Rattus norvegicus: one gene and its partners. The protein of the gene in region 3 binds, or shares a complex with, the protein of the main gene of each other region. Links are inferred from orthologs where the notes say so. Each region holds a gene or a part of one and is shown on either strand. Other genes may lie near its edges. The genes, in order: Ctnnd1, Cdh26 and Ctnna1.

Region 1 (10,112 bases), on a different chromosome or scaffold from region 3:
GTGCCAGATCTAAAGAAAATCCCAACATTGGTAAAGTAAACAAACACGGTTAAGAGTCCAGGGCAAATACCCTAAACAGGAGCAGGTGATGTACTAGAGAGATTAGTTAGCGTCAGTGACATCAGCAACACAATTAATGAAAAACATCTCAAGAACCGTCAAGTTGCATCAAAGCCTCTACTTTTTCCTGAAAACACCTACCAAAAAAAGATTTATCTTTCTCTCCCCCCCATTTTATATAATATACAGTTTCAATATACCATTAGCCTCATACACACAGCAATATATAATAAGGATTTACCATCAAGGGTGCTCCCTTCAATGGCTCCATATCACCCAAATCCCCAGATCGGTCCAGTGTTCTGTTGTGGTCTCCTCTCTCATTCAGTGTGGAATAGTTGTTATCTAGAGAAAAAAGTACACAGAAATGAGAGATCCCTTCTAGTATACAATGCATGTGAATTAGGCACCCGATTGAGAAATGAGCTGTTTCAGATGCTCCAACAAGACATTAAACGCTGATACTTTTTAAGACTTACACGCAGCTTGAGTATAAGGGGGGAGATGATATATGAGATATGCCCAGTACTGGGGATGTACTTCAGTGGTAGAGTGGTTAGCCTAGACTACCCACCATTGGGAAAACAACAAAGCAGTAACAATGAGAAACAGTGTATCCTATGGTGGTTGATACTAAAGAGACCTGGCCTGCTTATATACAGCCCTGAAATTAAAAGAAGACAGAGAAACATGCTACAATTGGAAGGAATTGATAATGCAAAAACAACTTGAGTTTAGCCTTTGGGAATGAAAAGAATTTAGAAGAGCAAAGGGGAAGAACATTCCAGTAGAAGGCTTCATATAAAGATTTTTAAATAACTCAGTAATGTGTTGAGTGTCCTCTTGTAAACCTACAACTGCAGCAACTGGAGGTTAAGGGAGGAAGATCCACAGATATTCAAGGTCATCTTCAGCTACAGAATAAGTTCAAGGTCAGTCTGAGATACAGGAGAACCTAATGATAAATAAAATAGAACGATGGGATAAAATAGTAAGTAGGAAGGAGGCAAAAGAAGTCAAGGTCATCCTCAGATAACCTGGGCTATGAAATCCTGCTTAAAAAAAAAAAAAAATCAGTAGAGAGTAGAGAGGAAGAACAGAGAGGGACAGGGCTAATTACACGCCACACAGAAACTTTATGAGAACATATGTGGGAAGAGGATCTATCAAGAAGTCAAGGTCAGGGGGCTGGAGTGCTAGCTCAGCAATTAAGCACACCTGTTGCTCTTGCGGAGGGCCTGGGTTCATTCCCATCACATACTTGGTGGTTCACAACTATCCCTAACTCCAATTCTATGGATTCTGACGTATAAGAGCATGGGCCACCTGGTAAACAAACATACACGCAGGCAAAACACTCATACATACAAAATAAAATAAATTGGCTAGGCATGGCAGAGTCTCAGCACAGGAGAGGCAGAAGCAGGTATGCCCTGGTGAGTTTAAGGTCAGTTTGATATACAAAGCAAGTTTTAGGACAGCCAGGAATATACAAAAAGATCTGTCTCAAAAAATAAATTTTTTTTCTCCTAAAACCAATTTTTTTAAAGTTCAAGTTTGTCCCATCCACAGTAACATATAAAAATGTAGAAAAGAGTAGATTGATCAAATTTTATTATAATTTCAGATATCCTTTCAAATGGAGATAATCAATCACTATACTTCTGGGATGGTTGTTTAGGGGGTAAAAGCTACAGGGGAAAAACAAAAAGAGCCAGGTACAGTGGAGCATATTTATAATATCAGCACTTGGGAAGTAGAGGCAGGAGAATCAGGAGTTCAAGAGCAGACTCAACTGTAGGGAGTTCAAGACCTGTCTATGTGACCTGAGACCCTGTCCCAAAAGAAAAGAGAGAGAGAGAGAATGCCTACTCACCCCAATTAAACACTATTCTGCAACATTAGACAGGAACTCTTTACCTACCTAATGATTTTGTGTTTGACCCCATATTGCTCATTGGAATTTCTTCCCGGTCAGGTTTCTTATCTATATGGAATTAGAAAGTTATCCAAGTCAAAATGCAATACACCAAAATCTGTATAAAGTAGACATTTCTTTCTAGCATGCCATCTTTCCTTGCCTTTATTCAATACAGTTTTACTCAGCACATACTATGTGCCAAGACTAATCACAACCTACGGTTCTAGGAAAGCCCTTGCAGAACTCTGGTCCCTTTCCTATAGACACCCAAATACAAGAAACATTTCAGAGGCATTTGTTGTCAAGCCTGATGGCCTGAGTCTCATCCCTGGAAACAACCTGTGAAGAAACTGAGCCCTTCGAGTTTTCCTCTGACCTCACACCCAAACTAAATAAACAAAGAAATAAATGGGGGGTGGGACCTTCAACAATATGGGCCCTTACATCTCAAAGCCCCTTTAGTCTTAAAGATTGCAAGGTTCTAGGCTAAAGATGTAGTTCAACAGTAGATGAAGCGTTTGCCTAGTCTTCTCACATATGAGGTGAATGAGGGTGTAGGAAATGACTTCCATTGGCGTGGAATAAGCAGACTTTACTATATTCAGAAATGGAAACATCTATTCCACATAAAAATATTTTTTCCATAATCATAAGCACTTTCAATTTAAAAAGCATTGTGTGGGGGCCGCTAAGGTGGTTAACGGGCTCGAGCACTCGCTGTGCAAGCCTGTCAGCCTGAGTTTGATCCTAGAGACCAGATATAACTACAAGAACAAGCTCCCTGGTTGCCCTCTAACCTCCACTTGAAGGCCACCATATGTGTGCCCACGACACACATCACAGACAATAATTAATTTTTAAATTAAAATAAAAATCCAAGGTTGGGAACACTGTTGAACATTTTTATATACCTCTTTTAACTCTGGGTTAATAGAAGAGATAGAAGTAGAACTTAGTCTCATAATTTTAGCACTTAGAAGGCAGAGGTAGGGGTCACTGTAAGTTCCCAGTCCAGGCAACTGTGGAGCCCATGGTAAGACCTTGCCTCAAGAAACCCACAGAAAGTAGATGGGGTAGTCTGTCTTGCCCTTGTATGGCATTTACTTATACAGATACACAGATTTTTGAAAAGTATTGGTACTGTCTCCCTGCAAAATAACAGTTTACAGAACTATGCAAATGTTGTAAAAATTAACACATTTTATTATACATGTGTATTTATCTTGACTTATATAATCATAAAAGCCATAAAAATGGTTTTATTATTACACTTTGTGTGTGTGTGTGTGTGTGTGTGTGTGTGTGTGCGTGCGCGCGCACGCATGGGTATGAATGTGCACATGGGAGGGAGAGAGGGAGAGGAGAGGGAGAGAGAGAGAGAAGGAGAGAGAGAGCGACCATGTATCCGTGTCCATTCATAGCATGACACGGATACAGTGGTCTGAGGACAACTTTCAGGGGTCAGTTCTCTCTCATGAATGAACTCAGGGTGTCAGGCTTACTGGCGAGTGAATTTACTCACTGAGCCACCTTGATGGCCCTAGAAAAAGCCTTCTAAGTATTGGGATGTTACTAGGCTCAGTAACATGGGTATGATTTTCCCAATTATACTTTTCTTCTTTCGGATTTTGGGGTTTATTGAGGCTTTTTCAGGGGGCAGGGTCTTATTCTACAGCTCAGGCTGGCCTTGAACCCCCTATGTAGCCCATGCTGGCTTTAAATGAAGGGCAATCTTCCTGCCTTAGCCTTCCAAGTGCTGGGATGAGACACTACACTCAGCCAGAATTATATTTTTCACTCAGGTAGCAAATACTGTCAGTTTTTTCAACAAAGTAATAAAGTTTCTGTGTTTATTTCTGAGGGAATGCTTGCCAAATAACCATGTTGAAATAATCATCACTTGTGTGTCAGCTACTTCATTAAGTAAAATAGTACTCTATAAAAACTGGCTAGTCTAATTAGTAATACCAGTAGTCTGCCTCAAGATAATCACAGTGGCTCCCTGTGGCGCAGCACAAGAGCTTCACATTTCCTCATTAACACTACACATCTAGGGGATGTGTACTTAGGGTAGAAATATAATAAAATATTACAGCTCCATCAAGGATGCTCCTAAATGGAGATGGCTTTTTAACTGAGGAGTGCATGGGAGTAAACCCAACTAGTTCAGGTCAGTGTCACCATCTCCATCTGTGTTGGCCCCGGCAGCACGCGCTGCTTTTATGTCATCAGTGCATATGTCCAAGAATCTTGGGGCTCTCACGCCATGCTCCAAAAGCCATGGGTGGAATCAAAAGGTAAAAGCCGTAAGATAAGAAAGGTTACGGTACATACTTTTAGTGAAACAAATATATAAAATACTAAATATATAATTCATCTATGATAAAGTGGTTTAAAAAGCTCTACCTCAGGGAACACACACACAAAAAAAAACTTGCCAAGAAAGACATGGATTCAGTCCCCAGTACCACAGCAACACAAAAACACAATCACACACACACAGAGCTATAGCGGTGGTGTTTTCTCTAGGGACTAGAAATAATGGACTTTCTGGTTGTCAGTAGTTTTTATTTTTTCCAACTAGAAAAGCACTAATAATTAACCAAGCACATTAATAAGTATCGGAGCTGGGGACCGAACCCAGGGCCTTGCACTTCCTAGGCAAGCGCTCTACCACTGAGCTAAATCCCCAACCCCAGTAGAACAGAAATTTAAGAGAGAGATTAAACAGAAAACTGATTCACCCTCTAGTAACTTGAAGTTCGCAGGCAAATTAAAGAAGCCACACTCGGTGGCTGGAGGTGGTTGTCCTTTAGGACACTCTAACCAACCAGCCACCCAGCCACCCCCTTTCCTTTCCTCTTTCCCACTTCAGGTCCTTCTCTGATCACCCTGCCCCAGTTCCCTGATAAAAGTTTATTTGTGACAGAAAAAAAAAAAAAAAAAAAAAAGCCGCACTTCACGCTACTAACTACCTTGATTTTGGTTTTACTTTCCCTTGAGACAGAGTGTCATGTAGCCAAGGTTGGCCTTGACCTATTACTGACCCTCCTTTTGCCACCTCAGAGTGCTGGCTGGGATTACAAGTGTGCACCACCACACCTGTTTGATTTCTAAATTCAAACCTATTCTCTTACACAGTACAATCCGGATGCAAAGCATTACTCCCACACTCGGCATCTAGCTTAATTAGAAATAAACACATATCCTATTTCTCAGTTAATAAGCCATTAAAGAATGCCAGGAGCACTAAACAGAGAAAGCTGCACCCCTTGGTTATAATACCTGATTTTTGGTTCCGGTCAATGAGGGGGAGAGTGCTATCATCATATGAATGGCTGCTCTGGCTTCTAGATGCATTGTTTAGATTCACCTAGAGACAAACATAAAACCCAGTGTCATAGAAACCTGGAGAGATTCCTGGCCCCTTCTCCTAACCATGTACCTCCCACTTCAGGAACCCTGAAAGAGCATGGGTTTCCTTCCCCATGCTCACCTGCCTTAGCCCTCACACATTCTTCCTGAAGGGCTTAGATGCTAGGTGCCTACTGACAGTAACTCCTCAGAAAAGACTGAGTCTAGGCAGTAGTGCATACCTACACTGCTAGTACTTGGAGGACAGAGCTAGAGGGAGCAGAGAACAGTAAGCACATGAAGGGTCTGAGTAGACAGGAAGCTCACAGTGGCCATACATTATCACTGCTCTCTACCAACAGCATCTACTGTATGTTCAACACTGAGAGAGAAGAACTACTTCAGCAAAAATAAACTGTGAGCACCACAGTTTATAATAAACTGGATTAAAAAGTAGTGTGGCAAGTCTTTACAATCTAACCAAAGACAGAGGCACTAGCCAAGGAACAAAAGAGAAGAAAAGTCAAAGCTTCAGTCGAGAGTTATTGCACCTGGAAGTCTGATTTCTTCCACCCCTCTTTTTCCAGTGGCTTCCGAAGCTCCTTATAGCCCCAGATTGTCTGCAGGACAAGAGCTGCTGCCCGGACTTCTTTTTCTGAGCGATTCCTATGAAGGAAAGTAACACCATACAAAGTTTAGTTTTCAGACCAGGGATCTCAGAACTTTTACTCTCTAACAAAGTGGTTTTCAACCTTCCTAATGCTGCATATAGTTAGTTCCTCACGTTATGGTGACCCCAGACATAAAATTATATTTATAGCTACTTCATAACTTGACACCCACAGGTTGAAAACTACTGCTCTAACAGCACAAGGATATAAAAATGTAAAAATGGGTGAAGCCAAATTTCACCAACTCTTATACTGTATGAAACACTGACATAAACTACTTTGATGTAACAGTCCATACCAATTTACAGACCGACACTAAGAATGAAAATAGAGCAATATCTCTCCACATGTTATAGGAAGAAGTAATCTCACAGAATGGAAGAGAAAAGTTATTTTCTAAAAACTCTTCTTCAAACTCAAATTCTCTTAGCTGTGATTAAGAAAAAGCTCACCCTGATTTGTTGATCAACACCAGCTTCTCAATACCCTGGGTCTCTCGAAGCTTTTTGGCGGCTTCCAAGTTCTCAGCAATAACTTCGTTGATGGTGTTCAATATAGAGACCACGGTGTCTTCAGAGAAATTCCAGGAGGAGTTCTGTTGACCTCCTGGCAGATTCTTTACCAAGTTAGGAATAGCATGTTTGCCTATAGCAGTAAAACAAAAGGTCAGAAGGAGCCTCACAATACACTTGAGAGTAGTAATCAGGCCAAGTGTTAAGTTCTAGTCATACAAATTAACTCCATTATTACTAAGATTATTTCAAAGGGGGCAAGAACATGAGACAGCCATAAACTCACTGCCATTCATCTATTTCCTCAAGAGCACACAGACAATGAGATGCTGGATATCAAATATAGTCTGGTCTTTCCAGACACAGTAATGAAAACAGTACATTCAGTACTATCTTATGATAATCTGTGGGGCAAAGCATTCTTTATGAATTTAAAAAAATTCAACTACTTGGGCTCTGCCACTAACTAGTTCAATTCTGGGCAAATGAAAAAAAAAAAAAAAAGAAAAGAAAAGAAAAATTCTTAACAATGCCTAGAGATAGAGAAAACAGATATTCAACAAATAATAATGGTTATAATGTTTTGGAAGAATCATCACTTCTTGCTTTTGTAAGATCCACAAAACTATGAACCTTCAACACTCAGAAATATAAACTATGAAGGATTATAAGATCCTTCTCCTCAGTGATGTCAACAAATGACTAAACGTTTGCTGGATTCCAGGCACTGTGCTAGGCACTAGTTCAAATCCTTACCAATTAACTCTTTGTTCCGAGCATCCACAGCCAGATTTCTCAGTGCCCCAGAGGCAGCTTTCACTACTCGCTCGTGTTCACTGGTCAGGAGGTCAGCTATGGCAGAGAGAGCCTTCTCTTGACGAAGAGCAGAGCGGATGTATCTGCCATACTAGGAAACACATGGGAAGCGGTAAAAAGATTACAAATGGTAGCAAACTAGTTATCTACACTCCCTATCTCCAAATCCATTTTCTTAGAGGTACTCACTGTCCAGCGCCCAGCACACAAGTTCTGGATAGCTCCAGCCGAGGCTTCTAGGATGGCAGGTGTCTTGCTCTCCTTAAGGAGTGAAATGTATATTCGCACCACTTCTGGCTGAAATAAGAGTTCATAGCCTGCACAGGAAAGGGCAAAACAGAAATCACTAATCAATGCCTACAAACCAGGCTCTGGCTGCCTGCAGTTCTGCTTCTCCATCATCAGGCCCCTCGAATTCCCTATCAGTCATGAGCAAATTCAGAGGCTTGATTTCATGTCTGTCTTCTCGGGTTTTTGTTTTGTCTTTTGAGACAGGGCCTTGCAATGTCAAGCAGACTGGCCTCAAACTCATAATCTTCCTGTCTTAACCTGTGAGTACTAGGACAACACATGTACCACGGATCTCTGTGAGTTTGAAGCCAGCCTGGTCTACAGACAAGTGTTCCAGGAAGCCATGGTTACATGGTGTGGTGCTGACTCACAAACAAAAAAACTACTACTAGCCCATGGTAAAAAAGAGAATAGACAGCAACGCAATTATATTCAATTCCTCTCTCCTTTCTCCTTGACTTGTACCTCATAGCTAACTTTAGCTTTGTTTGTTCCATAAGCAACCAGGCCTAATGATTCAACATCTGAAACAAAAAATTATTTCTAATTTAACTCAATCATTGTCCCCATCATGAGTATGACTAAATGATAAACAGCCTGAGATAACATAATTTAATTATCAACCTTTATATTTATAGAAAGCTAGCAAGTTTATATTCATTAATATACTGGATCCAAACATCCAAGCTGAGATAAAGGCATTTCTTCTAACAGTAAGGTTCAAGATCCAAAAACCTGCAGTGGCCATGCAGATAGCTAAGTCTCTTTTCTTATGTTTTTCTGAGGCATGCTCTCCCTGTGGATCCCAACATGGCTTTGAACTGATAGCAGTTCTCCTGCCTCAGCTACTCAAGTACTAAGGTTGCATACATGCACCATTATACCCAGCCTAGTTTCTAGCTCTAGACTAAATACTTGTGAATGAATTTTCCCAACACTTTTACTGTCACTTCAAATCTACTCAGTCAGAGAGAAATGTTCACATAGTGCATAAAACATGTTACCATATCCAAATTCTCTAGAGACAGAGAATAAGGAGGGTAGCTTACCCCGAGCAGGACTAGTTCTTTTAGGGAAATCCACTGTATCATTTGCTGGATCCTCGGTAGGCTTTTTCCCTATGAAAATGGAGAAAGGGCGGAGAGAACAGGGTAAAGAACTTTTTTTTTTAAAAGGAAAGATTCGACCTGACAGTTTTCATCCTTCAGTCAGAATCTTCAGATCATAGATGCAGCATCAAAAGAAGCAAAAGAAGGGAAAGCCCACACATAACTGTCCCAACAGGGATGATGCAGAAACAAGGAGGACCAAAACAGGCAGTAAACTGTATAAAAGGAAGGCCACTCCGGATGCTGTGAACTCAGTTCTGATAACATGGACTGCTGTCCAGAAACAGCATCTCAAAACCACAACCCAGAAGGTTTAAACTGATTCCAATGGTTCTCCTCAACTAAGTTTTCCTACATGCATCCACAGGGAAGGGTTAGACAAAGAGATATTAAGAAAGGTAAGAACCAAACCATGCAAGTTAGCAGACAAGCGCCTTAAAAGATTGCACTTACCTCTAGAGAACCACTCATCTTCCAGTGCATCACCAAGGTGGAAAGCGAGGAGAGAAATGAAGGAAGAAAACGCAGGAGAAAGATGTCAACAGGATCATGGGCAAGTACACAAGAAAGCAGAGGAGGAGGAAGAATAGGGAGGAAGGCCCCAGTTTAGCTCAGTTCTTGTCATTCACTGCCCTAGATGCCAAAACACTAACAATCATCACCATCCTCACATCACTACCACCAACCACCACCACTACTACCAACAACCACCACCACCAACCACCACCACCAACCACCAACAACAACCACCAACAACCACCACCAAACAACAACAACCACCACCAACCACCACCAACCACCACTACCACCAACCACCACCAACCACCACCACCACCAACCACCACTACCACCAACCACCACCAACAACAACAACCACCACCAACCACCACCAACAACAACAACCACCACCAACCACCACCAACCACCAACCACCACCAACCACCATCACTACCACCACTACCACCAACCACCATCACTACCACCACTACCACCACCACCAACAACAACAACCACCACCAACCACCACCAACCACCAACCACCACCAACCACCATCACTACCACCACTACCACCACCACCACCAACCACCAACCACCACCAACCACCATCACTACCACCACTACCACCACCACCACCAACAACCACTACCACCACCACCACCAGAGCAAAAGGACACATCTCCATAGGGAGACTTCCACACTATTTATTAAGTACCTATAAAGCTAAGTGTTCCTCTTGCCCCATATTAAAGAATAGGAACTAGATAAGACTCACCTTTGCCCTTCTTGGCCCCAAAGCAACTGGCAGCATGTGGCCCAGTACTGTTAGCCACACTAGGAAGTGCCTCCTGGTAACGCTCTGCCTGTGGGATTTCACGA
Region 2 (10,658 bases), on a different chromosome or scaffold from region 3:
CCTCCATCCTGGACAATTGAGGCTGTTCCTCCCAAAAGGACACCATTCACAGCAATTTGCATAATGCTCTCTGCAGTGCTAAGAGGACTGTCCCCAGGCTGACTTCCCGGCTGCAGCCTACCTCAGGCTGTTTTATCCGACTGGCAGGCAGGCAAGCTCTTGCCCCTCCAACCCTGAATGCCCTTTCACAAGTGAGATTGGATTTGGGCCAGGTCACCCATACTATTCAAGCTTACCTGGGGGCTGGGGAATGATATCTTTTGAGAATTAAAAGTTCCCAGAATAAATTACAAGGGAGGGGGAGAGAGAGAGAGAGAGAGAGAGAGAGAGAGAGAGAGAGAGAGAACTCAAGCATTTCAAAAAGAACATTTTCTATTTGGGGGTCTTAGTTCTCTCTCTCTCTCTCTCTCTCTCTCTCTCTCTCTCTCTCTCTCCAAAGTTTCAGGTAGCCTAAGCTGACTCAGTCTTGCTACATAGCCAAGGATGGCCTAAAACTTCTAATCCTCCTATCTCCCCTACACAATGCCAGGCATCAACTGTTGCAACCCTCATTTCCAGTTTATAGGACACTGGGAATAGAACCCTTCACCTTGTGTGTGCTAGGTAATTACTCTACTAACCAAGCCATAGTTCCGGTCTGAATATTTAAAATTTTAATGTACATGTCAGTTCAAGGAGGATTTGGAGTCCTAGAAATCAGCATTTTAAATTCCCACAAGACATTTCTACACAGGTTCCTTGGCCTTCAGTCTGTCCAGTTTCTGGGCTCTAAACAGGCAGTCCGAGGGCACCCTGGGGATAGAGTATTCAGGCACTTTACAGTATGGCAGCCACTGGCCACGTAGCTCTCACTGAATAGTTGGAAGACGAGCATGCACATATGGAATTGAGTCTTAAATTAGACTCAAGCAAAGTTTAAATTGCCACATATAACCGGTGATGGCTGCCTTCTCTGCACAGAGAAGACAATAGTCAGGCCCGAGTTCCAACCCCATCCCTTTCTTCAGTAGCCGCATGATGGCAGGCAAGTGGTTTGACCTGAGTCTGACTCTCATCTGCGTGGTGTTGAGTAATTGCATACAACTGCACATACAGAATCCTCCCCGTGCTGCGGATCACCGTGTTTTTGATGTACAGCATGCAAATCACTTAAGGACATTTAAGAAAGCCGGAATGAGGGGGACTCTGCAGGCGTCACGGCAGGCATGGAAATGAACTGCGAGAAGAGTTAACTCAGTTCAGACTGACTTCGTCAACCTGGATCAAACTTTGGGGAGTCTGGTGCCAGGTGATTTATTGCCAATATATTTAAACACAACATACTTTGGGGGGGGGGAGGTTGTGCAATACAATCCCCAGTGCCTGAGGAAACATACGTACATCAGAGCTCAACGCGGGGTACATGCCATTTCTTCTAAAATGATGGATCCTGGAGATGTGGAGCCTGTATCTGCTTAAGGGTCTAGTGAAGGATCTGGGGTCATACAGATAGTGTAGAGACCATTTGGGCTGTTAGCCATGTCTGGTCCTGGTTGTGGGAGCTTGGGAGAGCCCCTGGCTGTACAGTTAATATAAGGGTTATTTAGACTATCAGGTATCTCAGGATCTGGCTGTGAGAGGGTGATACGGCCTGGTCCAACAGATAATGCAGGTCACCAGGCTGTTAGTCAGTTCCCAGCTTTCTGGATAGAAGAGCAGGTTTTACATCTTTCCCACTGAAAAGACAATCCTGTGCACTTAACATTCCTGGTTTCCCTGGAGATCTGTGGGCCCAATGACTTCCCTGCTCCAGACACTAGAAGAAAGGATATTGTATGTTTTCGCCATAAGGAAATGCTAACAGGTTGAGGTGATGGAAGTCCGTCCTGATTTGACCGTTGTGCAATGCACACAACCATAGGATCATTATATGGTACCTGGTAAGCACGACTTTATGATTTGAACCTATCAGCTCTTTACTATTTAATTTCTTAAAATGCTTAAGAGGCCAGTGAGATGACTCAGCAGGCAAAGGTGTGAAGCCAGCCGACCTCCACTTACCAGTGGGACCCATGGGATAGACCCGGAGAACCTGCTCCTGAAAGCTCTCCTGACTCCACATGGATGGCTAGGCATGCAAAGGCCTGCGGGGGATGGTAGGGCACACCCAGACACAAGACAGACAGACGGATGGATGGGCAGATGGACGGATAGACAGGCACGTACACACATGCACACACACACACACACACACACACACACACACTCACTGTAAAACTGTACTTCAAACAGGAAGGGCCAAGTATCCAAGTATTGGCCTTTTGAAACCTTTATTTCCTCTTATATCACATGGTCCCCTTGGATTCAACTTAACCAAAATCGACCCTTTTAGCTCATGTTCCCCAAAGTGTCCCTTCTTCAGGACCCCCTAAGACAACAAAACGCTGCACCTGCTCACTCTCCATACCTCCCCCTCCTCTTTCCTTCCCAGGCTCCTCTGCAGCCTTCCAGCCCTCTGTGCCCACCTCTGGGACTGAGAGTCCCCATATTTCCAGGAGAGACACTGGGGCATTCTCTGGAGTGAGCACTTCTGTCCCTTCTCGTCCCTCTGCTGGGAATTGAGTGACATCCCTAAACACGTATGCAGAAGTCCTAACCTGCGGACACCATCTCAAAACTAAGATGTCTTTCGGTTTCATCAAGCTGCCGTGAAGACGTCCTCGTGGGCCCTGATCCAATGACAGGAAGAGGAAGCAGACACCCGGGAAGGAGACTGGCAATGGCCTGGACAGAGAATGGGGTGATGTAGTTGCAGGCCTTCTTAGCAATAGCAGAAGAGCCAGGAAGAGGCTCTGAAGGATTCTACCAGAGGGACTGTGGTCCTGCTGCTGGTACAGTTGCAGACACCAGGCCTCTCTGACTGTGAACACACATTTTTCTTAGTTCAGAGCCAGCTTTTGCTACATGCTTTTCCAACCCACTCTCTGCCTTTAACCACTTGAATATGTGATTCTTCATGTATGGTAGCAGAAAGTCCCAATAGGAAGCCACTGCTGTTGGGATAGTCTGGATGCTCTTTCCCAGGGAGCCTAAGGTTCACCTCAGACTGCCCTGTTATCCACCTCTGCAGCACTCCAGTCTCTCATTCCTGGTGAAGCTCCAGTGACTTCAGCAAGCCGAGCACGGTTGTTAGCAGTGCACCACCATTTCTTCCTCCACCACCACCACCACCACCACCACCACCACCACCACCACCACCACCACCACCACCTCCTCCTCCATCACCTCCACCACCACCACCACCACCACCACCATTTCCTCCTCTTCCTCCACCACCATCACCACCACCACCATCACCACCATCACTACCACCATCACCTCCATCACCACCACCACCACCATTACCACCATCACTACCACCATCACCTCCATCACCACCACCTCCACCACCATCATCACCACCATCACCACCACCATCACCTCCACCACTACCACCTCCACTATCATCATCATCATCAACCACAAAACACCAGGCTTTCCTCCTACTCCGGTTCCATTTGTTGAAGAATTCTCTCCCCTCTAGCCTTTAACTCCTGCCCAACCCAACCTGAGGATTCTTTGGCTCTTGGGACTAGAAATGACCAACCAGGAGGATGGCTTTAAACTGGGTGTCACCAAATGTGGAACAAGGCCACTAGCCTACAGAACACACTTCTGACTTTGTCACTTGGCTTCATGTCAGAGTCCTGGAACTGTTGGTAATTTTTAGCCACTGGGGAGGGAAATTCTGTTTTCAATAAGAACATAGCCCTGGTAAATGGACTACGCTCTAGTGGAAGGCCACATACTCAAGGTTTTCTTTTTGGACAACACAAAATCATCTTGATTTTTTTTTAAGTACTTGAATCTGGGTGGGAAGAGGAGAGGGGTTAGATCTGGGAATAATTGGGAGACTATGACCAAACATGGATGAAATTCTCAAAGAGCTTGATAAAAACTAAAAAACAGAGCAAGGGTGTGGGGTTCAGAGAGAAACCGATACACACCACACCCCCCCAGCAGAACATCACAGGCTGTCTTGGTGGAGATTAGGTGTGGGTGGGGGAGGTGCAAGCAGAATCTGGAGGAACCTGGGAGGCATGGAGGGTTGTGTTTCTCTCAGCCAGTTTAGAGAGTGATCCTGTACCTGCTGAAGTTACGGTTCTTCACCAAGAAAAACGCCCTGCGTTGTCCTCACTGAAACCCCCGGATTCCTCAGAATCCCCTGCTCCCAAGTACCAGAATTCCCTAGGGTCTATAAAGTCCCATCAGTCAAACACAAACACCAAGGTACCATCCTCAGGAGGATCTCCCCTCCCCCGCCCCTCCCCACACCAGCATCTGCACTTCCCCTTAGAGGTGAATTAATTGCTTGGGCACTGTGCTAACACAACAGAGGCGAGCGGGGAATGTTGCCATTTCCTTAAGAGAGGAGTTGGGGGTAGGTGCAAGTACAGGGAGGATGGAGAAAGGATTTGATTTGCAATATACTCAAATCCAGGCTGATGTGGGGTAATAAAGCAGGGTTCTAGGAAACACTATAGATGAGATTAATGCTCTGATTAAAAGCTCAACTCTTGACACGGCAAAAGGCAACAGAGACAATTCTCGTAACTCCAAGCAACTGGTACTAGGCAAGGCATCCATTTTAAAAAACTGGGGCAGGGCTCTGCTAGCATGTAAGCGTGCCAAGGCTAGCGTGTAAGCGTGTCAAGACGGAACTCCTATTGTGTTTGCTGCTGTGTTCTGTGTTCCCCCAAGACTCTGGCCCCGCAGAAGTCTTACAAGTGACTCACGATTGTAGCCCCCTTCAGTCATTGACTATGAAAACCAAAAGGAAGGCTGAACCACCACTAGCCCAGCGGAGCCCCTGTTTTTCTCCTTCTGGTCACAGTGGGGTTATTCAGTAGCCCACTGGTTTGCTACATTTGTCTTTAACCTAAGATTTTTTTAACTGAGGTCCCCTCAGTCCCTTTCAAGTGGGGGCAGAGGCACTGTAGGGAAACGTTCTTAAAGTGACAAGATCTAACTTAAAACTGTGTGTGTTTCATAAACTGGCATCAAGTTCCTCAGCTGCTCCCCACTCCCCCATAAGATGTGGATCTCAACCCCACATTTACCTACATCCTGGAACCCTGTGTGCCTATATTACTACAAAGACAGCCAGCCCCCTGTCTCCACCGAATGCCTGCTTCTCTCCAGGCTCAAGTTGCCCTGACAAATCCCTTTAGCCTAGAAAATTAAAAACCCATATACGTATGCTGTGCACAGATCCCGGCCCCCACTCAGCTCACCTGTGGCAAGGACAGCAGCAGCAGTAACCAGGCACAGACGCTGGTGTCCATGCTGGGCTGGGCACCAGAGAGTCCTTGGAGTCTGGAAGCCTCACCAGGAGCCAGGCACTTCCTCTCCAACCAGTGACATTGCTTCCAGTCACCCTTCGGGTACTTAAGACATGACACTTGACTTTGCTGCACCCTTTATTCTCCGCCCAGCCTTCATTTATCAGAGAAGGTGGGCTGACGGATGAGGCATAACCTCGTCTGTGGCCACAGAGTTCTAGGGAAACAGGTGCTCCGATACAAACACCAAAGCTATGTGTGTACACAGAAAAGTGGTTGGGCATCCGGCCTTGGGGATTATAGCTCAGCCGGAGGAAAGAAAGCCAGCGCCTATGGGAAGATCGGGTTTTGTTTCTCCGTCTCTTGGTTGGTTTTTAGTTTCTAAATAGAAGTCCAATAATCCCTCTATAGTGGGACATCTAATCGTTCTTATAGTCGCTGGAAACTGGAAAAACAACCCCAAGAAATTATATAGAGTTCCCCAGGGGGTGGGGGAGCAAGAGAGAAAGAAAAAGAGGGAGAGCCCATGGTGATGGTGGCTCAATCAGTGTGCCTGTCAGTCCCCATTCTGTTTTCTAACTGGACCCTTGCTGGGCCAGACATCCGGTGGGTGGCGCTGAACACAGCAATAAGCAGCACAGGGGAGGGGAGAAAGCTGTCTTAGGGTGCCCACGCTCCACTGGAATCCCATACAATTATACCCAGGGAAGATAATGTGGGGAAGAAAGAAAGGAAGGGGACTTGGGGTGTGACTTCGGTAAAGCACTTACCTGGAAGCACAGGCAAGACCCGGCTTCCTCCTGCCCCTAGCACTGAAAAATAAATTATAACTCTCCAGTGCATGTTACAAAACCTTTATGCCAAGCATATCTGGGCTCTGGGGTATAAAACCATTTCTACCTAAACCTCTTATGAGCATTGATGGAGTTAAAGAATGAGTGGGCAGAGATATGGAGACTGCTGACCCCAACCCCTAGCCCGAGTCTCTGGGAAAACCTGGGCCTTTTGACTTAGGCTCTGGGAAAGGACCACATTGGGATTCGATGACATCACCTGTCAGGCTTGCAAATGTTCAAGCAAAGCCTGAACTTGGACTCTGACAACCTTTATTAATACGTGAGTTATCTCCTTATCTTGCCTAAAGTAACGGCCAGTTTTCAGCGGGCAAAACGGGCAGCAGTCCTTGTAAGCGTCCTGCTCTCTCAGAGCGTGAGCTGAAGCTGACTATCTGTGCTCAACGGTTACCGTACTCGTCGGACCCTCTTGCATTGAAAGCGTCAACGCTGTGGCAGGCTGGTAGGTGCCTTCTGCGTAGGGAGGGAATCGGTAACAACGACTGGATTTACTTTGTGTGAGTTTCAGAGAGTTTCAGAGAGTTTCAGATCATCCTGGGAGGCCTCAGAAGAGAGCCCTAAATCCAGTGTTTGCAAGTGTCCTAAGCTAGATGTAGATAGTGCTGTGAGTGCAATGCTCTGGAAAGAACCCCAGGGATGCTAGGCAATGGCTCTAGTTTTACTTGTTCTACATTGAAATAATGCTGTTTGGGGATTGGCCTTTCTCCTTGGGCTGTGGTCGTCTCAGGCTTTAGCCATAACTGATGCACATTCACCCTAGGGAATATGCTTTTAAACACGTGGGGTTCTGGTAACAACAAGCCAGGACTCCTCAGTGGGGTTGGAAGCACAGAAATAGCTGTGTAGTCACATGATGGTGCTTTCTCCACCAGAGCAGAAGGCCAGAAGCACTGCTTCAGAGAAACGTTGAACATCCTCCTTTCTCCATTCTCAGGCTCTGAGGGAAAAGAGCCTTGAAATTCCAGGAAACAGGGTAGAGATGTCCTAGTGAGAAACCACATCCTTCTTCAAGCTGGAATGGATGGTAGAACACCAGGCTGGGCACACGAGGGTCCAGCCTACCCAGAAGACAGAGATTTGACTTCCATCCATGTTGTCATCAACCTCATAAACTGGACTCCTTCAGCCAACCCAAGTGACTAAAGGAAAATGTGTGCAAGATGGATGACTGAGAGACTGAAAGGTTGGGAAATCAAAAATGGTTCCTGCTAGGAATTCACTGGATCAAGACTTCCAGGAATGGCCACTCATATCCAGCCAATCATTGAGTTCAATGCTTGGTTCTCGTGGTCACAGGCAAAGCTTGACTCCTCAGGAATCTCAAGAGGGATTGGTGTGCCGCAGTGAGACATGGGTCCCCGTGAGTGCAGGTCTGTGTGCAGGCATACTTACATGGATGTGTGGAGGTCAGAGGTCAACCTTGGTCATCATTTCTCACTGCACAGGTCTCCTCATTGCACTTGAGCATGCTAATTACCATATATGCTGGCCAGCCAGTCCCAGGGATCCTCCTGTCTCTCCTTCCCAGCATTAGGGTGGCTAATGCCACCGTAAGTGACTTAAATTTTCAATTACATTTATATATTTATCATGTGTGTGTGTGTGTGTGTGTGTGTGTGTGTGTGTGTGTGTGCGCGTGCGCACGCGTGCATGCATGTGGAGGTCAGATGGCCACCTGTGAGAGTTGGTTCTCTTCTTCCACCTTCCAGTTCTCAGGGGTTGAAGGTCACTGCACTGCACTTGACAGAAACCACCTTCACCCACTGATCCATGGCCCCAGCCAATGCCTGGATTTTTATGTGTGTTCTTAGAAACAAACTCAGGTCCTCGAACTTGTGTGATAAGCATTATGTTGACTGATCTGCCTCCCCAGCCAAAAACAGATAAAACAGACAAGCACTAAGGAGAGCGCTGTTTCCAGTAACAGCAGTGTAGATCCGAAAGCTTGAGTCTGGTGTACACGTTGGCCACCAAGGGAAGGCTACAGCCTCCCAAAGCAGAGATATCTCAGGGAGATACAGCTCAGCTGGTGCCCAGAGGGAATCTGCTGTGGAAGGCTTCAGCCAAGAGGGGCCTGGGTAGGTGAGGCGGCCTGGTAGCTATGGAGTGAGCACAAGGAGCCGTGGGTGCTCACACCCATGACTGGATACCTTTCAACCTTCCTTGGGTTTGAAGATGCTCATATCATCCTGCAGCACTAACAATGGATCTCATCCCAGATGCTTGCCCACACCTCGATAGCTGGCCAGTCAGTGAGCTTCAGGAATCCACCCACCTCTACCTCCCAATCCCTGCCGAGAGCTGGGTTTCCAAGTGTGCCCACCATAGCTGGCTTTTCACATAGGTACTGGGATCAGACTCAGGTCTGCATGCTTTACCAATAAAACCATCACCCACCACCCTGCCCTCTTATTCACCTTTTGCCTTTATGTTTCTACACTAACAACACCGCTGGCAGAACTATCAGACCCTCCAGTCATTTGTCTGAGTAGGTTTTGGAGGGAGGTTTTGGGGGGAAGGGGAGGTACAAGGCTAAAAAGAGGGAAGGAGCTTTAAAGAGGTTTCAAGGTGATGCCCCCCATATCAAGTTCTCAATGAAACGTATTTCTTCTTTTTTTAAAAAAAAGTTTTGATGCTTTAATGTGTATGCGTGTTTTGCCTGTCTACATACAAGAGCACCATGTGCACGGGCAGTTCCCAGGGAAGCTGGAAGGGCCAGATCCCTTGGAACTGGAGTTACAGACAATGATGGGCCACTGTGTGATTCCTGAGATCTAAAGCCAGAGCCTCTGCAGCAGCAGCAACAGGACCTGTGCACTAGAAAGGCAGGCATCTCCAGCTTGAGGGTGTCAAGGCTCCATAAAATGCAGAAGTCCCATTGTTTGGGGAGGTCCTAGGCATGAGCAGCATAACACCTAGGGCTTAACAGGCTCCACTGTGATACTTAGGTTGCAGTTTCTCTATAGAGGCAGAAAGGTGTGATCCTGTGGTCACCCAGTGTAAGTAAGGGTCTGGGTGTACACATGTGACAAAAGACAGTTGACAGGCAAAAGCACAACAGCTTTGCCAGTTTCCTTGACCAGGAGCCTTCAGAAGACGCCATGGCTCAGGGGAAGGGGAGGAGGCTACTGTTCAGTGTAAGGAAGCCTGCACAGCCTTGTGGAAGTGCTCATGTGAGACACCTGGAATGGGCTCTGTCTTTGAGGTAAGAACAGGAGACTGTCTTCTCAGCCAGATCTTAAATAGAAAGGGCATGGGAGGAGAGAAAAGTATTCCCAGTTTCCAGTTGTCCCCCGTTCTAGCTTTTATGGCTTACCTCAGGGAGAAGGGGTACAGAGAATGGGTCAGAAAGGTCTCGCTTCTGAGCCCCTTTGTTCAAGCCCCTGAGCCCCATGAGTCTAAAATATCCAAGCCTCACAATCCCACTCACAGCAATCCATTTCAACGTTCTACGTATATTTAAAGTCTTGCTATTGCTAAGTAAATATTACACATAAGTGTGGGTGTCTTTACTGATGTCTTGTGAAGGTGGCTTCTCTGTCAAGATTTTATAGATGATGATGTCATTTCACATCTGCTAGGCAGGGCCTCGTGATTAGGGAACATTCTAGGAACACCGGAGAACCCCCCACTGTAGTTAACCACACCTAAGAATTTATTTAATCTGTGGCGGAGGAGGACAGGTGAGTGAGGGACCTGCTTTGTGTCGGAAGCTAAGCGTTCCTTTGCTCTCCCGTTCTGTTTTGATTTCACTACAAAGGTTTGCTCTGTTAGAAGACAGTAACAGATTTCACCAGGGTCTCAAAAGGTTTGGTCACCACCTAGTGGATGACTGAGGAGCAACTGCTCAAGTAACTGTATTTTTCACACACAGTCTAAGCCTGGAGTTTATACCTCCGATTTGGTGACTTTGGCTAATGTCAGAGGACCATTTCTAACCCAGCGCCACGACTACCGCAGTTTGGCGTCCTTAGAGGCACCCGCTTCGACGTCAGAAGTGGCTTTAGGAAGGCGTTGCGAAGGACTCTGGGAAGGCTTACAGCCGACGCTGGCTTCTACCAGGGCTTCCCTCAAAAGCCGACTCCCTTCAAGATGCGTGAGTTAAGGTGGGAGCTCATTGTGTCAGTATTGCCAAAATCCCCTCCTAGGAAGAGAGGAGACCGATGTCTACCCTCCTCCAAAAGTCCCAAAAATAAACCAAGGTGGGGTACAGTCATAGTCCACTCTGGGAAACCAACATTTCTTAGGCTTCCTTACAGGACAGTGGTGGCTGCCACCATAGTGTCAGTGGTCTTAAGGCAGCCACATTGGAAAGACTTCACCCAGCATGTACCAACCTTCCCCCGTGGTGGTGTAGTATGGAGCCCTTTACTTCTCCTTCCCAGTCTATGTGCTCTAGTGCCACGCCCCCCAACACACACACACACACACACACACACGCGCG
Region 3 (10,522 bases):
AGCCCACTACTGGGTTTCCCCACGCTGTGCTCTGAATCTGTGCACACCCATTGTCTCCGGGTGACAGACAACATTGAGATCCTATTCCATCGATCCCAGCTTGTTCAGGACAGCAGTCCACGAGGGGCAGTCGTCTGGCGTGATGGCAGACTCTATTCAGAGGATTGGAACACCCTATAGATGGAAGCTGGACTTCTCAGAGAGTGAAGTCATCAGACATGCCTCGTTCAAAGTTTAAGGTCAGCCTGGTTTACACAGTGCCAGGCCATCCTGGGCTACGCAGAGTGAGAGCATTTCTAAAGTAGGCCAGAAAGTGCTAATGCCATTAAAAGTCTGTGTGAGCATTGCAGTGACAGTCGGGACCATAGGACCTGGAGGAACCACTCTATAGTATTTGACATTGTCCAACCCAGCAACACCGACCAACAGGTATGGCGCTAGCATTTATTTCCCGAAGGTGAGCAGAGATGTCAGAAAACATTCATGTCATCTGTTGGTGGCTGTGGGACAAGAGTGCAGCGGAAACTGGTGGAGGCTCCTGTGAGAGTCGCCTCAGTGGCATTGACAGAGCAAGCTCTAACTGATGCAGAGCGGAGAGGTGTGGCCTGCCTGCTCCCACCCTGGAAAGCCTGTTGCTAAACATTTCAGCAAGAATTGTCTGGGTGTCACAGGCCTGGAGGCTGCCATGTTGGAATGGGTAGGAAGGGCAGAACCAGAGGGGGGCCCTGGACTATGGCAACACCACAGGTATCAAGAATAAGCCGAGGAAGGAAGCAGGAATCTGAAGGATATGAAACCACAAGTCTAGAGAAGGCAATCTGTACAACCAAAGCTCGTGGGATGCCGAGCCTGGGGGATGCTGGAGGAACCAGACCTTGATGTTGGTGTGCTACGGGCTGGATGAGGCCTCTGGTGTGGTCATCATAGCAGCGCTTTCCTCCCCGGAGAGGAGGCCCTGGCCCATGTGGAAGGTTCATTTTTGGGCCTGGAAGTTCTGTGCTCAAGGGGTTAAGTTGGGGACCGGGCATCAAAACAAAGGAGAGTGATTAGTAAGGCCAGAGCTGACTGTGGAATGCAGACCCCATCAATAGAGGGAGGCCATAACAAAAAATTAGCATGACAGGCTAGGGAGGTAACATGGGACTTCTGTCCTTTGCTCACCAGGTTGAAAGGAGCAGCTCAGGACTCAGTGGGTGATGGGGGTAGATCCTGAGAGACGTCAAGGGACAGGCACCGGCACCTCCTTGGGAATCTTCACAACGTCGCCCTCCCACACTGAGTCTCCTCTCACATGCTCTGTGTGGAATCACAAGATCTGTAGGACACACGAGGTTTCAAGATTTTGGTCTGGGCTTCCTCTGTTGCTAAAACCTTTTTACTAAAACCTCCAATATTTCCACAGAGGACACAGCCAAGACCATAGAACACAAAGGGACAGGAATGGGAGAGATGGGCTCCCGGACAGCAGTGTGGACGCAGCTGGAATGGCCCTGGTCTCAGACACAGGCTGATGAAGGCCTCGGTGGTGAGCTCTTGGCGTCTGCTGTGGCAACGTCAGAGCTGGGAAGCGGACTGAGTCTTAGGGACTGGGGACTGACCTACTGGGGTGTGGCCAGGCGTGCAGAGCCTGAACTGGAGAACATTTACTGATGAGCTAATGGCAGCACGGTTAGACACAAGGGCTCTTTCTCCCTCAGTCCCAGGCACTCGGTGAACTGCTGGTCAGTGCAGACCTGGCCAAGTCCAAGAGCTGGACACACACAACCAGTCTTGAAAAGGGCACAGAAAAGGCACCAGACACTCATCACAAAGGCAAATTTCTTACAGGGTCGATCCAGTTTCCTGAAGAGTTTATGTTTTGCTGAAAAGCACAAGGGCCTGAAGGTGCAGGCAACGTGATGAGAAGACCTTAGCAGCCCTTGGGAACTGAATGTGGTTAAGCCTCGGAAGCAATTTTGTTGCTACACGGCCAAAGGTCACGGTGCTGCCAACCCAGGCTCAGGCTCCAGTGCTGGTATGAAGGCACCATGTTCATTGCCAAGGTGAAGATGGGTGAACTAGTGAGACTCCCACATATCTGCAGAGGGTTGGCGGCCCCTGCTAGCTTTACAAATAAACTTGAGGTGATATCTGTTAAAAACTACAAAAAATGCAGGGAAGTCTGGGGGTGTCAGTGATGGGCCATTCAAACAAGAGGTGTGTGAAGTATGACGTGAGGAACCCCACCCAGGGACTGCCAGCACAGGCAAAACCAGGAAGCACTTGGGAGGCTGAAGGGGTGCTAACGATGTGTGCAGATTGTTGGAGAACAGGGAGGCTGGTGGGAACAAGACGCAGCCATTACTGAGGACTTGGGCTTTTGTGATGTGAAGTCGCTTGCAGATTTGGGCTCTCTTGGGCAGGGCTGACCTGATGCTGAGGGAGGGAGGGCAGGACGTGCTAATGGGCAGCCACCTCTGCAATGCATGCGCAGTACAGCAGGGATGGTGGGCAAAGGCTTTCCAGAGAGCACTAGACCACTCCAGGCGGGGAAGGCAGCTGTCATGTTGTGGGTTTTTCTACGGAGGCACTTCTGTGACAAGAAATTAAGCCTGGCCATAACACCTGAGCGCGCTCTGGCAGCACGGCAGCAGCCCAAGCCTCACTTCCTTCAGCGGTAACACCATGATCTGCAGGCACCGGCCAAGCTCGGGGGAACACTGGCTAGGAAGTAACAGATGAGGTGGTTTGAGCCATGGGGCAGTGTGCAGAAGTGGTCACAAGTTGTAGACCTTGCATGCATTTTAAAGTAGCCTCATTGTGTTATTTGGCCAGAAAAATGTGACTGGTAATACAAGCAAAGGTGGAAACGCCGAAGGGCCTTAGGCATGGAGAGCAGAGGCAGCGGGTGCGCCCTGGCCAGAGGGAACATCTCAGAATATCAGACTTAAAAGCAGAGTGCCAATAACAAGCCAGTATCAGGCACTGAAAGCCAGGCACCTTGGGTAAGATCAGAAGATCAGAAGAGCGGAGGGAGGGGCAGGCAGGCAGGCAGGCAGATGAGGGAAGGCACAGAGGAGAAGGTGTGTAAGGAAGTGGGTTCCATGGACCTTGCCTACGCAGGTCTGATAAGGTAGGGCCAGTGTGACTGGGGAAGGCAGTCAACTTGACAAGGGGCAAGATAAGCACTGACTGCAATGGCAGAACAAGTTAGTAAGGTGACAAGGTCCACGGCCATCTCTTTAGGGATCTCTAAGAGGGAATCTGTAGGAGGAAGGGATAGGAGACAAGGCTAGGGAATGGAGTCAGCCATTTTCATGTCATGGTTGATGCTGCTGGCATAGAAGGGCCCCCACGGCTTTGACTTGAACCCTGAAGAATGGCTGTGACACTCCTCAGGCTGGGGTACTGAACAGGACTTACCCTGCCTGGGAGGCAAGAACCTGAGAGGTCCTCCCTAGAGATCCAGTCACTGTCTCTCCCTCCTCCCTAGGCATCCTGGGCAGAGGGGCAATTAGCCCAAGTCTGACTCTTCTTGAAGGCAAAGAATGACTTCTGCTTCTTAGACTTGGTTCATAATAGACTTTATTGGGAAAATTAGTGTAAAAAACAGATTCATAAAATTTAAATAAGACAGTAAAATCTTATCTTGTAGCTATGGTAATTGCTATAGTAATCACAAGTAAGGTGGAGTCTAAATTATTGCCTAAGCGAACACTGCTGTCAAGGCTCCTTAGCCAGCCCAAAGCAGGAAACACTGCGATTATTACGAGAGCCCGACGATGAATTTGCATTTCCAGCTGGAATAACAGGGGAAGCATGTTCTGATTACAGCATCACAACGTTCTAGCCCGAGAAAAGCAACTCTATTAGTGTCCTACAGCAGAGCACATTAGTAACTTAGCCGTGAATCATAATTCCCATTCTGCTTCATAAAGAAACCAATCAATTTCCAGGGTAATCCATTGTTTTATTCCTCAGGTTTCTGGACCTTCTTTCTCACACAGTTTAAGGTGCCCCATGGTTTACCCTGGGTCACCCTTGGCCATTTGATTCCATACTGCCCCACAGTAGGGCTAAAGGCAACCTCTCCCTTGGGTGCTCACCCCGGCCTGTTCAGAAATGGACCAAGAAGTTAATGTGGCACTCTCTGATTACAGAATTTTTATTTCAATTAAGCTTATAAAAATATAGCTAGAAATATATTTTGAATTCTAAAAGCTTTTTTTCTAACCAGCTTTAACACAAACATGTCCTTGCAAAATTCACCACCTGGCTGAGTTTGAAATCTGCTCCCTCCCTGTGGAATACAACAGAGCTCTCTACTTAGCAAACACATCTGAGTGGAGAAGTATGTGACCGACTTTTCGGGACCCCCATGGGCTACGGAGCTCAGATGCTGTCCATGGCCTTGAACTCGCTGAGGGCCTGCACAGGGTTCACGTGCTTCTTCTGGGAGGCCCGCTTGATCTTGGTCTGTGTCTCATCCTGCTTCTCTCTCTTCACCAAGGGCTTCTTCTCGGGGGCTTTCATTTTCCATGACACAGCAGGAAGGTTGAGGGACGCCATCCCCTGTGACTTCTGGTATTTGGTGGAAGCCACGTAGGACGCCTTCACTGTCTGCACTACAGCGTTCATCAAGTTCTTGGCTGCCTGGATCAGGGACATGGCGCTGTCCACCTACAAAGGACAGATGAGTCACCGGTGAAGAGCCTGACTAGAACCCTGCATGCATGTGGCCTGGCCACACCAACCAGGGCCTCGTCACCTTAAGGGGCTCCTACTGCTCTATCAAGGGCAGCTCTTACCCATGTAGCTTGCAAATACTTGCCTTTGAAAAGAAAAGGTGACAACACACAAAGTCGCCTCATCCCCCATCCCTTACAGTGCCGAGTGTGCAAGGCTGTGTAGCACGGGCACCGTGAACAGTGGCAGGGACTGTGACCTGATGGATTGCTCCAACTTAGCTCTTTGTGGGTAGAAACGGAGAAAGCAGTGGGCGCGGTTCTATTTGGTAATTTCTTAGTTGGGTTAATTACTCTTTTGGGGTGGTGGTGGTATAAAAACACCCTTTTCCAAAGAACAGCTGGCAAAAGAGACGAGGCCTGGCAATAGTTCCAGCTGTCACCGGGCCACACCAACCATGCCATGCTAAAGAGATGGTGTGAGGCCGGTGGGCTCCAGGACCCAAGAGGAACTAAGAAGGACCTTGTAGCTAATGCTGCTTCTCCTTCCCCGTCTGGAGTAGGTGGGCGATGCACAGGGACAAATGTCTACTTCTGCTACAGACACGGGCCAGCAAACCCCTCCTGGCCAGTGTGTCTCATCGCTGACACTTACCCCAGAGACGACAAGCTCTCCACCGAGGTTCTGTACTTCAGCCTTGACCTTGCTGCAGATGTTGAGCTGGTGGCAGTAGAGCGCGATGCGCTGAAGGTAGGCCAGCAGGTCCTGCTTGCAGGCGGAGTCTGGGCACTGACGGAAAAGGAAAAGACGCTCAGCACTGAGTACTCCCAGCCCCACCCAGACAACTCCTGTCCCCGGGGTTATTTCTCAAAGGCTCCCCGTGGGTGTTAGCTTCCTCCCTCCCTAAAGGAGCAAGGGGCAGAGAAGGGGGAGTGTCCATTCTCTAGGGTGCCATACCCCAGGACAGTCCCTCCCAGAGCCCACCTCCTGCATGGGGTAGGCAGTGAACACTTTCTGAGCCTTCCACTCAGTAACTCAGGGTCTGCCAGCAACTACTGTGCTAATGCCTAGGTTTCCACCCCAGGGGAGAAGCTCCTGGCCCCTATAACGTGAGGTAAGCATCAGCAAGCAAGGGCCTGGTCTTACAGAGGAGACAATGCTGAGCTATGTAGATTAAAGAAGTGATTCATCAGCCGAGGCGCTCGCTGTCCTCTCAGCCAGGGCGCACACAAGATAAACCCTGAACACAGAGCTCTAGGCACAGGTGATTAACAAAAAGGTGACAAGTGCGGCCTCTGCCCAGACTGCTGGGGGCTGGGTGCTTAGGTTTCTTCAGAGAAGGAAGCACAGCCACTCACTCACTCTCCAGTGCTCACAACAGACACTGTTCTTCCAATGGTGGAGGGGAGGGAGAAGCGCAGTGGTGTAAAATGGGGTCTAGATACTCCATGCTGAAGGCTTTGAATTTTTCTAAGATGCCACTGAAGCAGGACAGATTCAAGTGTGATTTGCATTTTATGATGACAGTGTTGATGGCTGTTTGCAGAACAGAGGAAAGAAAGGCCACAGAGGTCTGAGCAGTAAGAGATCAATGGAGCTGCTAATTTCAGACAGAAAGAACAGGTGTTGTCACAACACACTGTCCACAAGGCTTTTTATTGGGTGGTCAAGAATGACTGCCAAGTGTTAGCTTGAGTAATGAGGGACAGATGTCACCCATCCTGCAGCCTGAATGACACAGTAAGCTTGGATAACAAGCCTAGAAAAAGGCCACAGGGAAGTGCTGTGAGGCTTCCTGGAGGTATGAAGTAGCAGTGAGGAGAAAGAGAAGCCTGTCCCCAGCTAGACGCTGTAACAGCGCTCACAGCAAGAGGCTGGGTGAGGGTGAGGAGAAGGGAGGCAGCAGAATCTGCTTCTGCTCCAAACTGAAAACCAGCCAACACGGCAGAGACTGGAGTGATAGAAAGTTTTAGATAGACACACCCAACCCTGGAAACTCATCAAAGAAATAGGAGTTGAGAAATCCTCAGGAACGTATGCTGGGACTGATGGAGTGGCTTAGAGCAATTTTCCAAGGTGAGCCGTGGCCCATGAGAACGCTCATCAACAGCTTCCTCAGCCATGGGCCGTGCAGAGCGGCACTCACGTGGTCTGCGATGGTCCGGCCAAGCTTATCCATCCTGGATCCTGCCTCAGCAATTTTCTTGGCAGCACTGATCACATCCGATGTGTTTTTGAGTGGCCCTTTGCCTCTGAAAAGAGAACAGGGTGCCTGTCTATGAATCCCATCTTGGTTGGAGGTTAAGTGGAGAAAAGATGTCTATGCCCCAGGGAAGTCCTCAGCCTCTCTCTCTGTGGGCTGCAGGGCTGCGCTCACCGGGTGAAGTCGGTCATCTCCATCATGATCATGCACATCTGCTTGGCCAGCACAATGATGTCATTGCCGCTGTCGTCCCACTTGGACACCTCAGCGTCCAGCTTGCTCTTCTCCTCCTGGAAGCTGGCCACCTGCTCTGCGATCTTTGCCTTCTGCTCCTGAGGAAGCTGAGCCATGATCGCCTACAACCACAAGCAAACCACTCAGGAAGTTCTCACAGTGCATTAGCCAAGACGGCTAACAGCAATCTACAACATAGGTAGGATAATACTTTAATGGTTTCATTTTGCCCAAAGGGCAATTTTCTCATTTTTGTAGGAATTCACTGCAGCCTAAATTCCTGACCCACTTTTTAAAATCATGTCTGAATGTGGAGGGAACAGTATGGGAGGCTAACCTGTGGGCTCCACCACCACATCTGTGAGGGTCTGACTCCTTTATAAGTTTCAAGTTTGGTGTTGTCTATAGCAACAGGAGAGGAGAGAAAGGGATGAGTGGGTGGAACCCTTCCTGTTGGGACCTTCAACAGACATTTCCAACTTTGGAAGGTCCATCAGAGGTAGATCTGCAGTCTTTCCTGATTCAGTGCAGCCCAGTGTACAGGGAGGACCCTGGGTTGCCGCCCTGCTCCTGGCTGAGGGTATTTTCTAGGAAGCCACAATTGACCAGCAGGTCATTACCTAGGATTTTAGTCGTACTCCACAGGGAAAAAAAATCATCAGAAAAATGGCGTTCTGAATATAGTTAGTTAAATATCCTAGAAAAGGGCCAGGTCTCAGAGCCAGAGAGCCTCTCCGGAACAAGTCAGCAGAGGACCACAGCCTGTGTCCTTACCCGGGCGCTCTGTCCAGCTATCAGCTGGTCATCTTCTGTCTGGACACTGGTCCTGCTTCTGACATCAAAGTCTTCAGTCTCGAAGTCAGAGTCGTCCAACTCCTCGGGGGTCTGCAGCCAAAGGAAAGACCCGAGTAATCAGCCATGCTTCCGGCTGAGTGCAAGCCCTTGCCCAGCAGCACCGAGGCCCAGGGTGCAGACACTGGTTACCAGAGAGTAGTGTCTCCTCACCCCCCCTTAGTCCTCACATAGGACTTAGGAGTCAGGCTGACCTCTGAATCAGGGCTTGTTGTAACAGAGATTTCACTTTTAATACAATTTCCCAAGGAATCTACATCTGCACATGAAGGTAAAAACCATCCTTGCTCAAAGTTTTTAAAGAAGAGATGTTTTTACACAACATAAAGCAATTTCATAAATGCTTACTTTATGACAAGAACATAAATTAATGCTGGGCTTTCTCTTTGGGTGCCAAGGCTATTTTGAGGAATAAAAAAAGCAATGTGTTATTCCTAAAGTCTAATTTTATTTTTGTCAAAGGACAAGAGAACATAGCAGTGCATACCAAAGGGACTGACTGCTGGTGTAGTCCTCTACAGTAGTTCTTAGGTAAAAATCATACTTTGCACATATGAGCAGCCTCTCCTGACTTGAAACAGTTATTAGGAAGAGCCAGCAGGCAGAACAGCTGGGGTTGGTGTCAGCCCAGATGGCCAGCCTGTGACAGGAGGGCAGCGAGCCCTCATCTCTGGTAGGCCCTAAGCCAAGCCATATCCATGGGGTCTAGAGAAGTGAGCACAGTACTGGGCAGGGATCACAAGGCACTACAGAGCCGCAAAGATCCTGTCAGTGTGTGACTCTCGAGTCCTGCCCAGCACCTCTGAGCTCTGGCCACAGACTGGTGTAGGTTGGTGGGCTAAGTCTAAGGAGCTTCCCAGAACAGCAGCCGACGTTGCTTCCTTGCCTGCTCAAGGCCTAACTGGGTCCTAAGAATTGTTCTTGCCAAGAAAAGGAGCTCTTTTCTTTCCTCCACTCTCCACTCACCTATCCTAACAGCGAACAGGAATAATGGGCACAAACTGAGTAAACTATGTGGCTGACTACGAGTGACCGGCACGATCATGGTGACTAGAAACAGGCAAGGGTCCTGTGAGGCAGTGCAGTGGGAACATGCAGCTGGAAGTGTGGGTAAACTGAGGTAAAAGAACAACTTGGCTCTCGGGCTGGATCCCAGCTCAGGTGACTGAGCCAGGGGGCAAGCAGTGGGAGACAGGACAAGTGATGTGAACAGCAGACTGCTCAATGACTGAAGCTGGGGCTGGTGTGGACGTCCTGGGCTAAGAGACTTCAGGCAGAGGGATGAGACAAGGAAGACAGGTTAGGGGTGCCCGAGAACTGGGGTCAATCCCTGGGACCCACATGGTAGGAGGAGAGGACTGACTTTCACAAGCTGTCTTCTGGTCTCAATACATGTGCACACAAAAAATAATGTAATTTAAAAAGGAAACCAAGCCTGAGGAGCTGAGTACAAAGTGATATGTGGGGCATTGGGACAAAGGACTAGTCATTGGGAGCCAAAGGACTAGTGAAAATCAAACAGGAGAAACTGTGTGCATGCTGAGGACAGAATCCTGGCTTTATCACCGAGGCTCATTTCCAAGAAAACCAAGATGATTGTTGAATAAAAGGCAGCAATGGGGTCAGTGATGGTTGTGTGTACACGCTAATGCTAAACTCCACCACCACCATCCTCAAAGCTTCACTTCTGCCACTTTTCCACCAAGCCCACTTCAGATGCTAAAGGGCGCCCTTCCTGAGAGTCCCCCACCACACACACCTAGAGGCCCCGGAGAGCAGGCCTGTGTTCTTCATTCCAGCACGGAACTAAACAGTAAGCAGCCGCCATTTATGCGTCAGACCTGTGCTGCAAACACTGCCTGTTTGTTTATTTCATCCAATAGAGCCATTAATTTTTTTAAACATTTACTTTCTGTGTGTGGGAGTTCTGCCTTGATACGTGGTTGGTATCCTGGGAGGCTAGAAGAGCTTGGGATGCCCTGGGATGGAGTTACAGATGGTGCTGAGGTACCCTGTGGGTGCTCACTGAGAAGAAAACCATGTATCAGAGGGACAGTCCCCAGACTGCTGCTTCAGAATGGTACTCAGCCTAGATCACCTCCTCCTAGGGAACACTGGACAGCTCTGCCAGCAGTGGCTTAACAAGGCATCCAGTCACAGAAGAGGAACTAAGTGGTCAATGGAGTGTATATAGCCTTGGCACCCATAAACACATACTGCAGCCACCAGCCACCATCGATGTTCTGACAGACTTGGACTCTGAGGACAACATGCAGGCGTCAGTCTTCTTTGGTCTTCTCTAACCACATGGGTCCTGGAGATCAAGTCCAGGCCACAGAGTTTGATCGCAGACACCTTTACCCACTAAAGCATCTTTGGCCACTTGGGTTCTTCGTTAGCACAGACCGGAAAGGAAAGACTGGAGGCTTCACTATCTTCCAGCCACACTCACAACCATTCCGCTTCCCAGTGTGCTCTTGGGGCATTCCCTGCCTCCCCAGGGAATGGTGGTCATACCTAAGTTTTTCAATGCCTCATACAAAGTGGAAGCAATAGGCCTTCAACTTG

Evidence for each region.
Region 1: Ctnna1 (region 3) and Ctnnd1 share a complex: the UniProt entries of both Homo sapiens proteins name them as parts of the cadherin:catenin adhesion complex. The link is inferred for Rattus norvegicus from reciprocal best matches to the Homo sapiens genes CTNNA1 and CTNND1.
Region 2: Ctnna1 (region 3) and Cdh26 share a complex: the UniProt entries of both Homo sapiens proteins name them as parts of the cadherin:catenin adhesion complex. The link is inferred for Rattus norvegicus from reciprocal best matches to the Homo sapiens genes CTNNA1 and CDH26.

The regions. Positions count from the first base shown.
Region 1 is NC_086021.1:90,092,563-90,102,674, forward strand, and holds part of Ctnnd1 (catenin delta-1), read right to left. Parts: coding exon 10,009-10,112; intron 9,206-10,008; coding exon of another isoform or gene 9,188-9,205; intron 8,744-9,187; coding exon 8,675-8,743; intron 7,652-8,674; coding exon 7,524-7,651; intron 7,426-7,523; coding exon 7,275-7,425; intron 6,652-7,274; coding exon 6,459-6,651; intron 6,002-6,458; coding exon 5,887-6,001; intron 5,355-5,886; coding exon 5,267-5,354; intron 2,048-5,266; coding exon 1,985-2,047; intron 406-1,984; coding exon 302-405; intron 1-301. UniProt on the Homo sapiens protein: Key regulator of cell-cell adhesion that associates with and regulates the cell adhesion properties of both C-, E- and N-cadherins, being critical for their surface stability.
Region 2 is NC_086021.1:185,893,452-185,904,109, reverse strand, and holds the start of Cdh26 (cadherin-like protein 26 precursor), read right to left. Parts: upstream 5,680-10,658; 5' UTR 5,364-5,679; coding exon 5,313-5,363; intron 1-5,312. UniProt on the Homo sapiens protein: Cadherins are calcium-dependent cell adhesion proteins. They preferentially interact with themselves in a homophilic manner in connecting cells; cadherins may thus contribute to the sorting of heterogeneous cell types.
Region 3 is NC_086036.1:27,128,035-27,138,556, reverse strand, and holds the end of Ctnna1 (catenin alpha-1), read right to left. Parts: intron 7,988-10,522; coding exon 7,877-7,987; intron 7,225-7,876; coding exon 7,043-7,224; intron 6,918-7,042; coding exon 6,812-6,917; intron 5,455-6,811; coding exon 5,320-5,454; intron 4,660-5,319; coding exon 4,372-4,659; 3' UTR 3,548-4,371; downstream 1-3,547. UniProt on the Homo sapiens protein: Associates with the cytoplasmic domain of a variety of cadherins. The association of catenins to cadherins produces a complex which is linked to the actin filament network, and which seems to be of primary importance for cadherins cell-adhesion properties.